2 linked regions of the Arabidopsis thaliana genome follow. The protein of the gene in region 1 interacts with the protein of each later gene in a pairwise test. Each region holds a gene or a part of one and is shown in the gene's direction. Other genes may lie near its edges.

What was found.
Region 2: the proteins of LAX3 (region 1) and CAT6 interact in a protein complementation assay, tested with the Arabidopsis thaliana proteins (one large-scale study listed by BioGRID).

The regions. Positions count from the first base shown.
Region 1 is NC_003070.9:29,201,516-29,205,274, reverse strand, and holds the start of LAX3 (uncharacterized protein), read left to right. Parts: upstream 1-1,856; 5' UTR 1,857-1,957; coding exon 1,958-2,128; intron 2,129-2,210; coding exon 2,211-2,396; intron 2,397-2,499; coding exon 2,500-2,612; intron 2,613-2,695; coding exon 2,696-2,879; intron 2,880-2,979; coding exon 2,980-3,077; intron 3,078-3,166; coding exon 3,167-3,632; intron 3,633-3,759. Other genes in the region: AT1G77700 (Pathogenesis-related thaumatin superfamily protein), read right to left, coding at 4-127, 453-528. UniProt on the Arabidopsis thaliana protein: Carrier protein involved in proton-driven auxin influx.
Region 2 is NC_003076.8:1,376,854-1,380,612, forward strand, and holds the start of CAT6 (cationic amino acid transporter 6), read left to right. Parts: upstream 1-1,767; 5' UTR 1,768-2,264; coding exon 2,265-2,667; exon of another isoform or gene 2,668-2,783; coding exon 2,784-3,352; intron 3,353-3,464; coding exon 3,465-3,696; intron 3,697-3,759. UniProt on the Arabidopsis thaliana protein: Permease involved in the transport of the cationic neutral or acidic amino acids.

The DNA.
Region 1 (3,759 bases):
TACCTGATAATATGGTGAGAAAGAGTAACAAGATCCTTGGTGACAAACCGAAACGAATTGGCATCTTTACTAGAAAATATTTTAGGATCAAATGTAATGTTATTTTCTGATCTTGAAGTGAGACTGGCTTTTTAAGGGAGGAAGAAAGAATAACTTGCATGGAGAGTCTATCGGTACAATTATAATAATCGGTTGTAGTACTATATGTGTTTTCAAATAATTAAGGTTCCTTGTTTTGGAATATGGGAAAGAGTTAGTTAGTGTTATTCGTTTCCTGATGTTTCATGCAAGTATTCTTTGGGATGCTGTTAAGGTAATCAAAGTCCAAATGGCCAAGGATCTATACTGTATGTGGCTTTTTATCTGTCTATTTGTATCTTCTATTATTGAATTTGGATAATCTTGTTGATATTGATTATTTTAGCCTTCATGTCATGGGTCAATTCATCTACCTACTGATATATTAGGCCTAATTAATGAATCATATGGCCCATTTATGTCGAACTCAATCTCAATTGTTCGGTCCATTCTTATATTCTGCTTTTTGAATATTACACCATTAATAAATTTGTATAGTCATGATCCTTTTTTTGGTTAAACAGATTTTCTGACGAAGATAAATTGATGAAAATCAAAACAAATCTCACAATCTTTGTCGTTATGGGAACCATCTGTAACCATCCAGTAGAATCGAGTTCCTGGTTTCAAGATGTCAAATTATTTAACTACAATGACTCGCCATTTTTTCAGTATTATTACCAATGATATCTGAATATCTGCTCTATTTAGGGACGACAATATTATATCTTTTGGAGATATCTCAATAGCCTAAATAAGGTTGAATCACAAAAAAAAAAAAAAAAAAAAAAACATTTGAAAATGCATATTTTAATGTCAATTGGCGATGAGTCTTCTTTCCGCTGCCATCCATTTTGGCCGGGTTAAAAAGCTATAAAGATCTAAAATGATGATACCTTCTCATTAATAATTCGATCCATTGTAAAAGTATGGGGCTAAAAAGGAGACATTTCTAAGAAATTAGTGAGTTAAATAAAGCTTAGACAGCTAGACACGTGTGGTAATTATGTTTACCACTAATCCCACCTGATTAGCAATCATTCTTTCCATTGGATCCATCTCCAATCCTCGATTACCTCACAAATCACTATTTCTTCCTCTCTTTTAACCAAGTTTTTCTACTTCTAAATCAAGCGTTTGGATGTGCGATGCCATATGGTAGACAAAGGCATAAATTTATGTAATTTCGAGTTCCAGGTAACAGCTATGTAATATAATCGGACAAAACATAAAAACTTAGAAATATAATTGATTATTCTACATAAAGATCGTTATCATCCTCATCACAAGAAGGAGGAAAGGACCAATATGTTTTATTCATTGTTTCTAGTTGTTACAATCATCATGATTCAAATAATTGTTAATGATAATAATAGTTTAGCCTTTCTTTCAAAAAAAAAAAACATCATTGTCATCACTTCTATTTTCAATTTACAATTAGTCTACTCTCACTACTTTAAACTTTAAAATCTATAATTAGCTAACCCTCTTTTTTTGCATATTATCGGGGTCAATATATAATTAACAATCTCAAACCGGGCCTACCCGTTCGTGTAATGCTCCAGAAATATGGCCCATAAGCCCAACAATCAAATCAAGCCCATTAAAAAAACAACGCCACGCTCGCCGAAAACAGTAACAGTCACAAGTAGGTGACATAACTCAGTCACCAACCAATCATAAACCGATATCCCCATGACAACTCGTGAGCTGTGACTAAAGACTTCGTCCCCCGACACTCGTTACTCAATAATTGCACACAGAGCAAAAGAAAGGAAACAAAACCCATAAAACAAATAAATAAATGAAAAAGCTTTTCACTAGTCTATTTAAAGAGTGGAAGTAAAGAAGCTAAAGAAACTGAGAGAAGAAGAGAAAAATGGCGGCAGAGAAAATAGAGACAGTGGTCGCAGGGAATTACTTAGAAATGGAGAGGGAAGAAGAAAACATAAGTGGTAACAAGAAATCTTCAACTAAAACAAAACTCTCTAATTTCTTCTGGCATGGTGGTTCTGTCTACGATGCTTGGTTTAGTTGTGCTTCAAATCAGGTATGTACTTCCCACAGATTTAGTCTTATATATAGATGTGTATGTATCGTCTTCTATAGCTAAATTGTTATAAAAATGGCAGGTGGCACAAGTTCTGTTGACATTACCATACTCGTTCTCACAACTTGGGATGATGTCGGGAATTTTGTTTCAACTCTTTTATGGATTAATGGGAAGTTGGACTGCTTATCTCATTAGTGTTCTTTACGTTGAATATCGAACTCGTAAAGAACGAGAAAAATTCGATTTCCGTAACCACGTTATTCAGGTTTTATTCCACCTCTAATTCTTGTGACTCGTTATAATTTTTTATTTTTTTGGTGGTATTATTGAATTTTAACTTTTTGTTTTTTTTTGTTTGTGTAAAAAAGTGGTTTGAGGTGTTAGATGGATTGTTGGGGAAACATTGGAGGAACCTTGGATTGATCTTTAACTGCACTTTTCTTCTCTTTGGATCTGTTATTCAGCTCATTGCTTGTGCTAGGTAAATTAATAATCAATGTTCATTTTCTTTATTATATGGTTTTTTCATATTGAAAATTAATTAATATAAAAAATGATTTGCAGCAATATATATTATATTAATGACAAATTGGACAAGAGGACATGGACATACATATTTGGGGCGTGCTGTGCAACAACTGTTTTTATTCCTTCCTTCCACAATTATAGAATTTGGTCATTCCTCGGACTCGCTATGACCACTTACACTTCTTGGTATCTCACCATTGCTTCACTCCTTCATGGCCAGGTCATTATAATTAACACAAATCTTGTTTTGATTATTATAAGATATAGACATATAGTCCTGGTTATTGTTGTTTAATATATTTATTTTTCATATAAAAAAGGCTGAGGATGTGAAACACTCTGGTCCAACCACAATGGTGCTTTACTTCACCGGAGCCACCAACATTCTCTACACCTTTGGTGGCCACGCCGTCACAGTGTAAGTATTTTTTTTTTGTTTGGAAAAATAAAATGGCTTAATTAATGGCTTAACTAATTATGTATTGGAAATTTGAAAAAATATAATAGGGAGATAATGCACGCTATGTGGAAACCGCAAAAGTTCAAGGCGATATATCTACTAGCGACCATATATGTACTAACGCTAACGCTACCATCCGCGTCTGCGGTTTATTGGGCGTTTGGCGATAAGCTACTAACTCATTCCAATGCGCTCTCTCTTCTCCCTAAGACTGGTTTTAGAGATACCGCAGTGATCCTCATGCTCATTCATCAATTTATAACGTTCGGATTCGCGTCTACACCGTTATATTTTGTGTGGGAGAAATTGATAGGTGTGCATGAGACGAAGAGCATGTTCAAAAGAGCCATGGCTAGATTACCCGTGGTTGTACCCATATGGTTCTTAGCCATTATCTTCCCCTTTTTCGGACCAATCAATTCCGCGGTCGGATCTCTCTTAGTTAGCTTCACTGTCTACATCATCCCCGCATTGGCTCATATGCTTACCTTTGCTCCTGCTCCTTCAAGAGAGGTTAGATTTCCAACTTCCAAAATATCTATTTTAAAATTATAATTGTTTCATAAAAAGCTTGTTACAATTTTAGTATAAGTTTACAAAGAATAATTGGAAATAGTATATTATTAGTTTATATTAAAAT
Region 2 (3,759 bases), on another chromosome or scaffold:
GCATCTTATCTAAAATTCAGATTTGACCATCCCACTCACTGTATAAACCACTCCACATTATCTTTTTTATTTATTTCATTATTACTCTTTTGTGTACCCAAAAATGTGAGACTTATTGGTGACCATACAAGTCATAATTTATTCTTGTCGAAATTAATTTATATATAAATGTATGCGTATGTGTGTTGTAGATACGAATATGTGTCAACGTTGCTGACACTAATCTAATTATCATTATTGTGAACAAAGAGAGGCTTAAGAGTGTTCGATTGAAGTAGATATTTAATACTATTTGTTTGGATAAGGTAGTGTTAATTCAATGCAGTGCGCGGCCAACCAAAAAATAAAAAGATCAATTGCAACGTGTATCCAGTTACGGGTATGATTGGGAGCGATAGAACTTTTACATAAACATACACAAATCATTCTACAACACTTTTTAATCAAGTTTCATAGATGGTTAGATGAGTTCTATTCGAATTAACCTTATAGTGAGTTTTGGTGTGGTAAAAATAGTGTTGATTTTGGATTACATATACACATGCGGTTAGTTGGTGGTGTTGGTGATTTTGGATTTTGGATTTCAGTGAACAGCATCAAAGGCTCCGAGTTCGACCCATGAAAATAAAATCAGTCAATCCATTGCTTCTTCTTCATCTTAAAGCGTCGAGTCTAATGCCGATTTCTCTATGGAGAATACTCATCAGGATCATGATACAACCTGCAAACATGTTGCGTTGCCCTTATCACAGAGAACAGATCACTCATCTTTTTTTTCAAGAACTCACTCATGCATATTACCACTCACACATACTATCAAATAACACGGCACTAACACTAAAACAAATTACTAAGTTACAAACTGTACCAACACAAGATTTGCGGTTATTTATTCCTCTAAGTACCAAACTATTCGTGTCCTCGTTTTAAAACATTTAAATGCAGAGACAAAATCAGTTGAAGAAGACCTTAATTAGCTGCAAATATGCGATAATATTTTCCTAGTAATGCCAAGTTGCCAACTATAAAAAATGAGAAGATTGTCGAAAAGAACCAACTAATTACAAAAACTCATTTCCTCAAATTCTGGTCACGCTTCGCTTTAAACCTGTGTGCTTATCCATTGAAAACAAAACAACATCCCACGTGTCACCTTCTTTGCCACACGTGTGAATCTTAAACCACACATAGCCGTTAGAGGTAACGTCGTTACCGTGTCTTATGATATACGGAAGTTAACGCCGTTTGTTTAGTTTTTTCTTTTTAACGTCCGTGACGGTTTCATAACCTCGGGAACTAAGTAAGGAAGAGCTTTTGAAGCAGAGAGTCGTTACGTTTCAAACAACCGATCATAGTCATAGACACAATTATGGTATTAATTTCATTAATTAGTACTAATTCCCTATCAATTACAAGGAACGCAATTACAAAATTTTGTCTATAATAACATCAATTTTAGACCCTCATTTCAAGGAAAAATGTGGGAATGATTCTCCAATGACATATTTATGATTAAAAAGTTCATTTCTCAGGTTCGAAATATTTTGACCATTTTGAAATATACTAATAATGTTGTTTAAAAACATATCTTATTAGAATGTTTATATGGTGTTATAGTGTTGAGATATTTTTTTTAAATATAAATAATTGAGTACAAATCTATAAATTTAAACAATAAAGAGTGTTATTAACAATTAATGATAAGTAGTAAAAAAAAAAGAATATTCTTCAATAAAAACCGTAATTCATTTTTTTCCTATTTTTTAAAAAACAAAACAAAATAAGATAACCATAGGAAATGCCACTCTGTTACAACTCAGCAGTCTAATGATATTTAATAAAATACCAATTTTAGTGGTTTATGGTCAACAAAAATAGTTTACAAGCTTAGCTAGATGTGAATACATACTATATACTACCAAACTAGTTTATGATTTGTATATGAATCAATAAAAGCGTTAGCATAATTAGTATATATAAATGTAACTGTAATTGGACCAAAGAGATAAAGCATCTTGGGTTTAGTAAGCTTTTGAGCTGATGATGCTTATGTGATTAATGTGAATATAAGAATTAGGGAACAATCTTGTTGTTAATAACAATACTTATAACATTTAAATGCCCTTAAGTATCGTCATAATTACATCTTTGTCCCTATCCTTCTCTTTTTCACTTTTCCTAATCTCTAATATAAAACCAACTCTTGTCAAATTCAACAAAATTCTCACACAAACCGACCCGACCCGAATCTGGCCGGTGAGAAAATGGAGGTCCAAAGCAGCAGCAACAATGGTGGTCACTCTTCTTTCTCCAGTCTCCGCGTCTACCTCAACTCTCTTTCCGCGACGCCTTCTCGCTTATCCCGCCGCGCTATTTCCGTCTCCACCTCTTCCGACGAGATGAGTCGCGTCCGCGCCGTCTCCGGCGAACAGATGCGCCGTACTCTCCGGTGGTACGATCTCATTGGACTCGGAATCGGGGGAATGGTCGGCGCCGGTGTCTTTGTCACCACCGGCCGTGCTAGTCGTCTCGACGCCGGTCCTTCAATTGTCGTCTCTTACGCCATCGCCGGGCTCTGCGCTCTCCTCTCCGCTTTCTGTTACACCGAATTCGCCGTCCATCTCCCGGTCGCCGGCGGTGCCTTCAGCTACATCCGTATCACATTCGGTTAGTCTCCCGCGAAAATCATCACTACTCCTCCGATCTGTTCACGGTTTTCTGAAAATTTTAATTTCAAAATCAAAAACCGTAACTGATTTCTTTTCTGTTACATTTCCGTTCAGGTGAATTTCCAGCATTTTTCACCGGAGCAAATCTTGTAATGGATTACGTAATGTCAAACGCGGCCGTTTCGAGAAGCTTCACCGCTTATTTAGGAACAGCTTTCGGGATCTCAACTTCCAAGTGGCGATTCGTCGTCTCCGGTTTACCGAAAGGATTCAACGAGATTGATCCAGTCGCAGTTCTCGTCGTCCTCGTAATCACAGTCATCATCTGTTGCAGTACAAGAGAGAGTTCCAAAGTGAACATGATAATGACTGCATTTCACATCGCATTCATATTCTTCGTGATCGTGATGGGATTCATAAAAGGAGATTCAAAGAATCTATCCTCACCGGCGAATCCAGAGCACCCCTCGGGATTTTTTCCGTTCGGCGCGGCGGGAGTTTTCAACGGAGCTGCCATGGTTTACTTAAGCTACATAGGATACGACGCCGTTTCAACCATGGCGGAAGAAGTTGAAAATCCGGTCAAAGATATCCCCGTCGGTGTTTCCGGCTCCGTCGCAATCGTCACCGTTCTTTACTGTCTCATGGCAGTCTCTATGTCAATGCTTCTGCCATACGATCTGGTCCGTACTTCAAATTTATTATTTTCTTATTGTATATTTCCGTTTTCATAAAGACGGCACGTAGTCTGAGTCTAAAGCTGAAAACGGCGGGGCATGTGTTGTTGTAACGCAGATAGATCCGGAGGCGCCGTTTTCCGCGGCGTTCAGAGGATCGAACGGCTGGGAATGGGTGACGAAAGTGGTGGGGATAGGAGCAAGCTTTGGGATATTAACATCACTTTTGGTGGCAATGTTAGGTCAGGCTCGCTACATGTGTGTCATCGGACGGTCCAGAGTGGTCCCCTTTTGGTTCGCTAAGATTCATCCCAAAACATCTACGCCAGTCAACGCCTCCACTTTTCTTGGTACGTTTCTTTGTCTTCATTCATTCATCAAAAAAACATTTATTTAATTACTGTCAAACAAAC